3 linked regions of the Mus musculus genome follow. The protein of the gene in region 2 purifies or fractionates together with the protein of the main gene of each other region. This does not show direct contact. Links are inferred from orthologs where the notes say so. Each region holds a gene or a part of one and is shown on either strand. Other genes may lie near its edges. The genes, in order: Eif3i, Eif4g1 and Eif3h.

Region 1 (4,354 bases), on a different chromosome or scaffold from region 2:
CCAGCCAGGTGGATCTCTTAAGGCCTACCTGGTCTGCAGAGAGTTCCAAGACAGCCAACGCTACCATAGTGAGACAATGTCTTGAAAACCAAAAAACAGGGGCTGGAGAGATGGCTCAGTAGTTAAGAGCACTGACTGTTCTTCCAGAGGTCCTGAGTTCAAATCCTAGCAACCACATGGTGGCTCACAACCATCTGTAATGGGATCTGATGTCCTCTTCTGGTGTGTCTGAAGATAGTTACTGTGTACTCACACATATAAAATAAATAAACCTTAAAAAAATTTAAAAAGAAAAAAAAAGAAAACCAAAAACCAAACCAAAAACCCCTAAACAAACAAACAAACAAACAAACAAAGCTGGAGAGATGGCTCAGTCGTTAGAGCAATGGCTGCTCTTCCAGAAGACCCAGTTAGGTTCCTAGCACCCACATAGTAGCTCGCAACCATTTATAACTCCTGTCCTAAGGGATCTGCGGCCTTCTGTCATTTAAAGGAAAATGGCTAGCAAAGTACACACAAGGTACACAGACACATATGCAGCAAAACACCCATACAAATAAAACCAATCTTTAAGCTGGGCAGTAGTGGCGCATGCCTCTAATCCCAGCACTCAGGAGGCAGAGACCAGCCTGGTCTACAGAGTGACAGTCCAGGACAGCCAGGGCTATAAAGAGAAACCCTGTCTTGAAAAACAAACAAAAAAAAAAAAAAAAAAAAAACCCAAAAACCAAAAAACACCAAAACCAAAACCCCTAATCTTTAGGGAAAAGAAAAATGATAAAAAAGATTAAAAAAAAAAAAAAAGGTTGAAGAACAACTTAAGACCTGATGCCTCCATTTGTCCCTACTCCTGTGCACACAGATTCACCACGCACATATATACAAATAAGAATACATAGTCCACCTAGTCCATATCTTCTTGGAAGCCATCAGAGCATCTCCCAGGTCAGTCCCAAAGAGACTTTCTCACTTTTACCTCAGAGTGCCCTGACCTCTGAATTCCCAAACTTGAACCTGTCCTAGTTTCCCACAGGATGAAGTAGCTGGGAGTAGGGAGTGTTATTCTCTAGACCGCCACAACATGCCAAAGCCAGTATCTCCAAGGCTGGCTAACCCATGGCCAAAAGGATACAGTCAGCATCCACGCACCACACAGCTCCAGTGTGGCCCATGTAGGTGCCTAGCCTCTCCCCATTGACAGAGTACCACACGTTGACGATCTGGAAAGAGTAAAATGATAGGATGGTCACATCCCAAAATAATCAATAGCTTAGCTTGCACTACAAACCCTCTGCAGGCTCTAGCCAAGCCAGGTTTGCCTTCTGCTCATTTACCAGTGAAGAGCTGATAGGACCGCCCAGCTCCTGGGTTCTCCTCCTTTCCTAACATAAGCTGTAGAAGAGCCAGGCCTCCAATAGCATCCTCATGTGCTTTTGTCTGGAGTCAGAAGAGGTAAAGGCCAACCTGAGTTGCAGTGTGAAAAAAAACCTTTCGGGTCCTGTTCAATTGACTCCGGATGACAGTAAGGATGTATGGGCTCCACTGCTTTGTCACTAGCTCACTGTGTGATCTTAAATACAGAGCTCCCTTCCTTTAAATGGCTAGGAGAGCTGAAGAGAAGGCTCAGAGCTTAAAGAGCACTGGCTGCTCCTCCAGATGACTTGGGTTTGATTCCCAACACCCACATGATGGCTTACAACAATCTGTATCTGCAGTTCCAGGAGATTTGATATCCTCTTCTGGCCTTCACAGGCACCAGGCACTCACATGCTATGTAGACATACAATGCAGCAAAGCACCCATACACATAAAATAAACAAAATCATTACACACACATACATTAAAAAAAAAAAATGACTGGGAGGGGCTGTGTGTGGTAGCACACACTTGTATTCCCAAGACCAGGAGGCTGAGGCAGGAGGATGGAGAGGTGTGCTGGCCACCATGGACAGATACCCCACTCTTGTCAACAGCTTTCTTCAAAGGGCAGCTGTGAAGCTCCAATGAAACCATGTCTATGAAACTTAAAATAAGTGACTTACATGCATCGGGTACAGTGCAAAACGATTTACAGAAATGACCTCACTCTGCTGAGGGAGCTAATTAAAGTCTCCATGTTTTATTAAAAGGGAAAACTGTGGTTTATAGAAAAGGTAAATGTCATGTTCAAAGTCACACTGCTTAGTAGGAGCAGGAGTTAGGGCTCAGATCTCAAGCTCCGACTTAACTCTCCACTGTTAACTATCAGTTTATTGCCTCCAATGCAAATGCCTCAAAAGACAATCCCCAAAGGAAACAAAGTGGGATTGAACAGACCACTTGATTCTGTCCTGTCCTGTCCCTGGGCTCCCTTCCAGTCTCCTGATTCTCTTCTCCCTGGCTAGGTACCCTTCCCTTCCAGATTTCCCTGGCGGAATGCTGTCGCCAACCTACCGCGGTATGGGGTTGGTTTTCCCTACTTATCAGAAAAATTTCCCTCCCGCAGGCAGTAAACCTTGTCCACCCGCAGTCCGGGCGGCGCGAACTCGCCCCCTCCGGGCCCCCCGCCCCGGACCCCCGGCCGCCCGCCCTCACGCAGTCGCTCACAGGGTCTTTGGCCACGGTGAAGAGAAGGTCTCCTTCGCGGTTATACTTGATCTGCGTGATGGACCGCTCATGGCCCTGCAGCAGGATGGGTTTCTGTGGGGACAGAACCGGGGTGTCAGTGCCGGGAACCCCGTCCCATGCCTACTGAGGCCCCCCGACGGCAGCACGCCGCGCCTGGAACTCACCATCCTGGCGGTGACGCGAGGAGAGAGGCAATGTGAGTGGGACCGGAAAAAGACTAGGGACGACTTCCGGATGCGGGGGCTCCGCCCTCTCGCTCCCGGAAGTAGAAGGGCCTGGCGTTTTCATGGCGGCGTCCTGGGGTGGGTAGCCGGGCCCCCCACCTCCGCGGGCTCCGACTCTGGCTCGGGAGCTCTGTTCTCAGTCTCCTGGCATCCCCGAGCCTCAGGAATGCTGAGCCACGCACCCTGGTCTCACTTCGGCCGCCCTCTGGGCGGGTCCTCCCGACCGATCACAGCCCGGCGGGAAGAGGGAGGGAGGGAGATGGAGCCGGGCAGCAGGGTGCAGGAGGCCGGAGGAGGACCCGGGTGACTTTCTGACCCTTTGCTTTCAGGGCAGGTGCTTGCTCTGGTGCTGGTGGCCGCACTGTGGGGTGGCACGCAGCCGCTGCTGAAGCGAGCCTCCTCCGGCCTGGAGCAAGTGCGTGAGCGGACGTGGGCCTGGCAGCTGTTGCAGGAGATAAAGGCTCTCTTCGGGAATACTGAGGTGCGTCTAGCTCTCACGGACGAGCCCCTGAAAATTTCACCATAGGTCGGCCGTATTCCCAGCCCATCTCTTACTCACTAGAAGTTCCTGGAAGAGTCATTTATCCTCTGTGAGTCTGTTTCGTCAAAAAAATGGAAAATTTAATGATAACCCTTGTATAGGGCTGATATAAGAACTCAAGTAAGACACATAAAACACTTAGCATTGGGCCTAGTACAGGGTACATGTTCAATCAATGACTATTTTTGCTTATTGTTTGTTTTTGGAGACAGGGTTTCTCTGTGTATCCCTGGCTACCCTGAACTCACTAGCCTCGAATTCAGAGATCAGCCTGCATCTGACTCCTGAGTGCTGGGATTAAAGGCGCCACCACTGCCAGGCTCCAGGACTACTCTTAAGGTCATCATCACCAAGTTGAGCTTTCTTTCGGCTCAACTTGCCCTGGGGTAGAACATAAGGAAAGCTATCGAGAACTGCCCATGGCTGCCTATGTAAGCTAGCTAGATATGCCCTACTCTGAGGGTTAGGGGGAAGGAGAGAGGTACTATATTTATAGTACTGTGTGAATTCTGTACAGAGAGATGAAGCTGGAGGACATGGAGTGGGCTACTTAGAAGGGGTAACACTGTCACTCAAGGCCTTATACCAGCAGGGACGATGGGAACTGGCCATGACGAGGGAGAGGGCATTTAAGGCAATAGAGTACATTGAATGCGTTTCTCTGTTTGCTCTAAGGGGTCTTCAAACACATGAGCGGTCCCTGAGCATTTGTAACCATGCCAACCCCCGTGGGAAGGTGCAAGCCAGAACAGGGACTCTCGAACTGGGTAACAACTGGCAAGGGGTCTGACACCAGATATCCTGCATATCAGATACTTACGTGACAGTCCATAACTGTAGTAAAATTACAGTTGTGAAGTGGCAATGAAAATAATTTTATGGTTGGGGGGTCCCCACAACATGAGGAACTGGATTAAAGGGTCGCAGCATTAGGAAGGTTGAGAACTGGGAAAGCCGTTGCACACGCAGGCAGCCCCTGACA
Region 2 (3,559 bases):
GTGGTGTTTGTAGTTTTTCTCATCTCTTTCTTTTCCCTCTTTTCTTCCCCAACCCCCTTCAGGGGCGTTCCACATATGTTGTCCCAACACAGCAGTACCCTGTGCAGCCAGGAGCCCCAGGCTTCTATCCAGGTGCAAGCCCTACCGAGTTTGGGACCTATGGTAAGCCGGGCAGGGAGTAGGTGGGGAGAGTGTATCCTAGGGAACAGCTTAGGTGGTCAGTATTTCTAAATGCTAAGCTATTCTTCTGTATGCTTTTGGTTTTTTAAAATGATAGGATTAATAGATGATGGGGATTAGTGCCTAATATTTAACATATGTTGGTAAAGGAAGTTTTGATCCTTTGCCAAGAGAGTTGGAATCTTTCCTACTTCAAGAAGTAAAAGTGTACACTCCTTTAATCCCATCCAGCACAAAGGAGGCTGAGACAGGCGGATCTCTTAAGTTTGAAGCCAATCAGGTCTATGTAGTGAGTTTAGGACAGCCAGCGGTACATAGTAACACCCTGTCTCAAAACAAAGAAACAGGGTTAGGAACTTCAGTCTGGCTCTGTGGGTCAAAGTACCTGCCCCCAAACCTGATGACCTGAGTTTGATCACTGGGACCCAGGTGGTAGGAAGACAGCTGACTCCCACTAGTTATTTTCATATTTCCACTCAGCCCATGCACACGTAAATGAATGAATAAGCTGATCATTTAAAAAAGAAAGGGCTGGAGGTATAGCCCAGTGAATTGCTCTTGCAGAGAGGCCAAGTTCCGTACCAGCACCCGTGTTAGGCAGGTCACAGCTGTCTGCAACTTTCAACTCTTGGTGGATCCAACCCTTCTGGACCTTCTGGATACCTCACAGAGACATACCTCCACATAGACACATAATAAAAATATACTGAAAGACATACAGGCTCTGACCTGAAAGCCAAGTTAGTGAACTTTACATGGGCTTTCTTTTCATAGTTGGGAGACAGTAATGTGGATTTGAGTGGTTTTTGTAGCTAGTTCTCATTTATGTTCAAAGAAAAAACTCTGTGAACTTTATTGGCTTTATTTATTTTGTGGTTTTTTTTTTTTTTTCCCTCGAGACAGGGTTTGACTGGTCTCAAACTCAGAAATCCACCTGCCTCTGCCTCCCGAGTGCTGGGATTAAAGGCATGCACCACCACGCCCGGCTTTTATTGGCTTTATTTGAGACAGTCTTAGGTAGTTCTAACTTGGCCTGAAATTTGTCATGTAAACCAGGCTAGTCTTAAACTTGCAGTGTTCCCCCTGCCTCTAATTGCTGGAATTACAAGCATATGTTAGCATGCTAAGCTTGCAGCAGTATCTTTAAAAAAAATTTCCCATCAGGAAGATCTTATGTATATGTATATGTATAGTTGTGTGTGTGTGATTAAACATATAACCACCATTGATACTTTCAAAAGGAATAAGTGGGAACTAGGGATGAGCTACAAATTTACCCCGCTTTGGAAACAATTGCTTTAGGGAATTTTTATTTCTCTAAGCTGGATGTTACTTTTTGTTATGGTTGCCCCTTGCAAAGGGCCGAGTTAGGAATTTGAGTCAGCTTAAGTGGGACAATTTGGAAAACCCTGTTCATTCCCTGCCAAAGAGCTAATTGTGTCTCAAGTTGAGGGTGTGCATGTGTGTTGCTGGGTTGGGATGTGTGTGTGTGTGCGTGCGTGTGTGCGCGCGCGCACACACACACACACACACACACACACACACACGTGTATGAATGAATGTCTTGTGGGGTAGAACAGGTACTTGGTAGCTAGTGTAGAGAGGAAGGAGTTCCTTCCTATAAGGTGTGTGTATCTGTGAGGAATTCTTGTAAATGCAGTTCAAACTGGTTCCCCTGCTTTGACAGACACCTAATTCCCTGGGGAGGCGGGCAGGGCAGGGCAAGGGGCCGGCTGTGTATGATGAGAGGTTCTGCAGTGGGAGGTGTTCAAACGCATATTAGTATATGTTTGGATCTTGAGGCTGTCACGAATCTTTTCTGTCCTTCTTCCCCCAAGCTGGAGCCTATTACCCAGCCCAAGGTGTGCAGCAGTTTCCTGCTAGTGTGGCTCCTGCCCCAGTTTTGATGAACCAGCCACCCCAGATTGCTCCTAAGAGGGAACGGAAAACTGTAAGTAGCAGCTAGGAGCTCTGGGATACCTGGAAAGGGACACTCATGGTCTGCTGTTGGCTGGAATGTTGCGCTTGTGGGAGCAAAACTTCATAGACCTGAATGTAAGCAGAGAGTAAGGTCTGTGGAGAAGTCCCTTGTAAGGGGATTGTTCTGTAGAAGAACTCAGAAGACGACTTGGGCAGCAGGGAAAGACCCAAGAGACTTGGGCTCTAGTAGGTTCACAAGATGTGTGGTTGTTTTGGGGATGCTGGTGGTTAGCTTTGGAAATGGTTTGTTTTCTGTGCTCCTAACTCCTTGGTCCTGGAAGCTCTGGAGGCCTCCGCCTCTGCTCAGTCCTCAAGCCCTGGGCACGGTGCCCAGAATAGGGTGCCAGGGCTGGGGAAGCCGCTGAGTCACCCTGGCTCCACCCACTGCATCTGGGCCCTACCCCTAGAGATCAGACCGACTAGCCACAAGTGAGCTAGCCGGATGTTTGATGGGGGTCTTTAGGCCTAGGGTGTTTGGCTATTGACTTAGGGATTGCTGGTGGGTAGAGGGGAGGGAGGGAGGGGCATTGTGATGTACTGGGCTGCTCTGTGAGGTCAAGAGTCTTGGGGTGGGGGCTAGGGCAGCGACTACAAGAGCAGCCGGATGGGTTGACAGTAGAACTCATGGGGTTTCTGGCACCCACCCACCTGCTTCCCAGTAGGGGTGGGAGGTTGGCCCAGAGTGTTAGGAGGGGCAGGGTGGAGAGGTGGGCTTCTTCTGCTTCCCACTCATCCTATAGCTTTTTTTCCCCAGATCCGAATTCGAGACCCAAACCAAGGAGGGAAGGATATCACAGAAGAGATCATGTCTGGGGCCCGCACTGCCTCCACACCCACTCCTCCCCAGGTACTGTCATATCTTTGAGTGATACCTTGGTTTGGACAGCTATTCTGCCCTAGATTCCGAAGTCACTTGATCTTTCCCTTCACCTTAGGGGTTTGTTTCCCATTTCCCTGCTTTCCTGGATTTCTAGGCAGAGCTAAAGTAGAAATGACTCTAGTAGAGAAGGGTGTGGAACTCTTCAGTGCAAACTTATAACGCTTTGTGTCCTGCAGACGGGAGGCAGTCTGGAGCCTCAACCCAATGGGGAGTCGCCTCAGGTTGCTGTCATTATCCGGCCAGGTAAGGAAGGCAGTGGCACAACCTTTACGGGGGAAGTGGGGAGTGTGAGGATTTACACTTGAAGGAGTGATTCAAACTGAGTACCAGAGAATGACTTAGGTGTCCTGTAGTGGGTTTGAAGTTGCACTGTTTGGATGAGGGGTGAGAACAGCCAAGGTGGGAGAAGGTTGGGATGTGTTTTGTTAAATTGGAAGTAAGCTTCACTAAGAGGAAGAACAAGAACAGTGAAGGACTTGCTGTCATGCATCCATTCTTCCTGCAGATGACCGGTCGCAG
Region 3 (4,192 bases), on a different chromosome or scaffold from region 2:
GTAGCTCTATTAAGCCACATGTGGCAATAATATACATGACAAGGAGAAAAAGTGGAATGCCATAGACAAAAAAAAAAAAAAAAAAAAAAGACAAACCTAGTCAGGGAATGGCTAACTGGCCAAAGGTGAACATTCTGGACAAAGTGAAGAAAGAACTGGGAAGAGGAAAAAAAAAAAAAAAAAACTCAACACAAACCAAGAACATGTAAGCAAAAACTACACCTTGATGGATCTTGAATTCACTGAAAGCATCTAATAAAAGGATTTAGGACTCGAGGTTTTAAATTAAATGAATGAGAAAAAAAAAATTAAGATATCTTTAAAGGAAATACCAAGATTTGAACTAAGGGTCAGCATGATGGCTCACTAAGTAAAGGCACTTAACCATCTGAGTGTCCCTTTTTATAACTCATCAGGGTCACTCATAAGCTTCTGAGTCACAATATGATTTGTCAGGACCCCTGATAATCAAGAGGCCCTTTTGAGTGAAGACATGAGTATTTTTGTCACTGAAAAGTGTATCTTCATAGTAAACTATCAACACCCAAACTTCTAACACAATCTCTTAGGAAGAGCAATAATCAGTCCCCAGATAAAAGAAAACAGTGAGCCATGAATCCAGAACTAAGAATAAGTGTCTTGACTTTCCTAGGCCCACTGCCTGCCGGTTGAACTCAAATGGCCCTGTCTGTTCCCACCTGCTGCAATCTTAAGGCACCCTGACACTGTTCCTGTTGAGACAGCTCGGCAGTTACAAGACTGCCCTAAAAGTATGTTCTACTGTGTCGTGTTTGACAGTCAGTCCCACTACGTAGCCCAGGCTGCTGGACAACTCCCCAGAATCCTGCTGTACCTTCCCAAGTGTTGGGATTACAGGTGTGGACCACCATGTCCAAACCCAGTCCTAAAATAAATACATACTTGTAATTACATCTACCAGGCAGATTTATAACACCTACCTGTTGACTTTTACAACTCTAGAAGCCAAGTAATTCAAAGAGTGGTTTCAAATTATACAAAAATGCAGTTAAGACATAAGTTATGACTTAAAATACTTTCCAAGTGTTGAAATGATACTTTACAAGTCCACCCACCAACTAATTTGCGATCTTTAAACATGTATTATTTATTCCTAAAAGGCACCTGCCTCAAAAAGCCATTGAAAGCTGAAACTGTCAGCTAAGTAAACAACCTAACATTTCTTTTTCACAGTACTATGCAAGTGATACTTAACTGGAGGCATAAAGCTTTCTAAACTTAAGCTCTTCCCTGCATCTTTCAAACTCTGACATCCACAGGTATTACAGTCAGTAACAAGCACAGCTTACAGTCTCCCATGCTCACCACATACAGGTTTTCACATAATCCAAACGATACACCAATGCCTAACTACTTCTCAATCCCATCTGAACACATGAGGTAACTAAAGCTGGTTAAGGCCAACTTCTTAGGGCCACAGAGACTAAGTCTATAAACATCAGGTTATATTAAACAACAAACACAAAAAAGCCTCATGACAATCTAACTAAACTATAGTCCAAAGTGAAATTACTAATAATTTCCACTTAAACACTGCCTGCTGCAATCACAATTTTCACATAAATTAAAAAATCCCTATTACAAGAGTCTTTAGCCGGGCATGGTGGCGCACGCCTTTAATCCTAGCACTTGGGAGGCAGAGGCAGGCAGATTTCTGAGTTCGAGGCCAGCCTGGTCTACGAAGTGAGTTCCAGGACAGCCAGGGCTACACAGAGAAACCCTGTCTCGAAAAAAAAAAAAAAAAAAAAAAAAAGTCTTTAGAAAATACCTAATGGATAATACCTAAAAACTGGTTTGAGAGAAAAGGGTGCTTTGGGGAAAAAAGAAAAAAGAAGAAAAGAAGGAGGAGGAGAAAGAAGGGAGAAGAAGAAGACGACGACGATGACCTTTTTCTTTTCTCTGTGGTTTTCTTTTTGAGACAAGATCTCGGTGCCAAATGACCTCAAACTCGTGGAGCTCTGCCTGCCTGGGCCTCACCTGTGCTCAGGGTAAAGACATGTGCCACCACAACCTTCAGGAGGAAGGTTCCTAAAGCTTAGAACCCCACCTCATTTCTAGATTCGCATATTTTCTCTTCCATCCACTACCTTCCCCCGAGCTTCCCCAGATACTCTAAGTCATGGATCTTATGCAGAAATAAACTTACGGCTGTGTCCTATGGCTTCTTGGGTTCACGCTGAACTCTGCCTAAGAGTTTTACCCCAGTTCTGCAAGCCCAGGTAAAGTTAACACACGCTAACACAGTAAATCTATTGAGAATGCACTTGGCAAACGCCCCTCCGGGAAGCCAAGGTGTTTCCTTTCCCCTCACTCCTCTCCCTAGAGCCCCAAACAGAACCCTAAATCCTTCCCATCACAACTGTCATTCGGTTGTAACCCCTCCTCTCCTGAGCCTCTAAAAGCCAGACCACGCCAAGCTGTCCCATACCCCCATTCCGGCCCCGTTTCTCAGCACTCAGGTCTCTCGTCGGAAAACAGGGAAGGCTGCGGTGTCTTTCGAGCAAAAGTGAAGATGAAGGAGAAGGGCGCCGAGGGGAGAGCGCGGTCAGCCCGCGCCTGGGGAAGGCGGCAGGAAGCGCGCCCGGCAGGGATCAGCCTCACACGTGGGCCTGTGGCCGCAACCCGCACTCACCAGGCCGTCGATCTGCACCTGCTTCACGGCCGAATCTCCGGAGCCGCCTTTGCCTTTGCCCTTCCCCACCGCGCCGCCAGCAGAACCGGAGGAGGTGGCGGTAGAGCCGGTGCCTTCCTTGCGCGACGCCATGTTTCCAGCCAGACAGGAAGAAAGAGAAGCGTGAGGCGCCGGAAGCGGAACTACGAGGCTCCGTGACGCTATGTTAAGGCTTTGGGGGTGGGGGGGGCGGTGTCTGGAAGCAGGCTGGGCAGGGCCCCGCCTCCTCGGTGGTGTTTCTCCCTCCCCCAACCCTCCCTGAGATTGTGGGAATCCTCTGCGCACGCGCGGAGTTTGGCCCGTACTGCTCAACCCACAGTAATTGATTAGGGTCACTCTGACTACAGAGAAAGAGCTTAGAAGCAAGAGCCATTATTCTACACCCACTCAGAATATACAGAAAATGTCTAAAACATGGTTAACTTTGATCAGTCTCTAAAATGAAAGATTTACCTGGGTAAAATACTCAGAAGTTCTTTTCTGTAGTGTTGTAGTGTGGAAGTTGATGTCATGGTAAGTATTCAGAATGCAGACTCTACGAATAATGCTGACCTATGACATGAGCTCTGAAATACATATTATCGTGACTGGAAAACACTACATCTGTTGTAGGAAGCCATTGTAATAATTCTCTGCTTTAGAGTGACTTTTTCCCTACTCCTTATTCAAAAGTAATGAAATGGTCACACTGTGGCAGAAAATATTGTATGCTAACCTTTAATTTTTGTTGTTGCTATTATTTGGGGTTTGTTATGCATCAATCTGACAGCAAGGATTAAAATGTTACTAATGATTCAATGATTCAATGTCCACTTCTACAAGTCTAGAAGGAATATTAGCATCCTGGCTCACAGAGAAAATCTCCACAAAGTATCAAAGGTGCATCATAGAAGAGTTACACTAGAAAGCAGTAGCAGGGTGTTAAAAAGCAGAAATAAAACTCTCAAAAGAATTAAGTGGGAGTTAAAACTGTGTGGTATTTATAAAGAAAAAATATCCACTAGCTAATCCTACAACATACATAGTTTGACAGGACACTGCCTCTGGAAAGCAGGGACACAAATGTGACAATGGCAGCTTGTAAAGGTGAAGGGGAAAACCCATATTAGGATGAAGTGCTTAATTTTAATTGGGTATGTTAATTAGGTGAGCCAAGGGAGGTGCTGAGTGCTGGACTTCCTTTGATAGCTGGACTTTGGTAGTCATCCACAGGAGGAGGAAGTGGCCAAATAAGGGAATGGACCTTGTTGGCTAGCTTTAGGAATGCAATCTGTTGGTTTGGTTTGATGGAGGGAATGGGGGGAGAAGGGCAAGGCCTAACAGATCGATGCCTGCAGTGCTTGGGCTGGCTAGAGTCCCTTCAGAGAAGTCCCTACTAGCTACCTTTCCATCACCAGATCTGTATTAGACGAGCCAGCCGAAGTAAAGACCCAGAGTTCAGCACCAAAGTACTCAAATATAAATGTTTAAATTATTTTAAGC

Evidence for each region.
Region 1: the proteins of Eif4g1 (region 2) and Eif3i purify together in Homo sapiens (affinity purification with mass spectrometry; 5 studies listed by BioGRID and IntAct, counting the BioPlex papers as one, with this or other methods). This does not show direct contact. The link is inferred for Mus musculus from reciprocal best matches to the Homo sapiens genes EIF4G1 and EIF3I.
Region 3: the proteins of Eif4g1 (region 2) and Eif3h purify together in Homo sapiens (affinity purification with mass spectrometry; 4 studies listed by BioGRID). This does not show direct contact. The link is inferred for Mus musculus from reciprocal best matches to the Homo sapiens genes EIF4G1 and EIF3H.

The regions. Positions count from the first base shown.
Region 1 is NC_000070.6:129,597,823-129,602,176, forward strand, and holds the start of Eif3i (eukaryotic translation initiation factor 3 subunit I), read right to left. Parts: upstream 2,827-4,354; 5' UTR 2,775-2,826; coding exon 2,772-2,774; intron 2,680-2,771; coding exon 2,587-2,679; intron 1,221-2,586; coding exon 1,133-1,220; intron 1-1,132. Other genes in the region: Tmem234 (transmembrane protein 234 isoform 1 precursor), read left to right, coding at 2,894-2,909, 3,161-3,312. UniProt on the Homo sapiens protein: Component of the eukaryotic translation initiation factor 3 (eIF-3) complex, which is required for several steps in the initiation of protein synthesis.
Region 2 is NC_000082.6:20,675,668-20,679,226, forward strand, and holds part of Eif4g1 (eukaryotic translation initiation factor 4 gamma 1), read left to right. Parts: intron 1-62; coding exon 63-162; intron 163-2,018; coding exon 2,019-2,131; intron 2,132-2,914; coding exon 2,915-3,007; intron 3,008-3,216; coding exon 3,217-3,283; intron 3,284-3,545; coding exon 3,546-3,559.
Region 3 is NC_000081.6:51,862,655-51,866,846, forward strand, and holds the start of Eif3h (eukaryotic translation initiation factor 3 subunit H), read right to left. Parts: upstream 2,808-4,192; 5' UTR 2,804-2,807; coding exon 2,672-2,803; intron 1-2,671.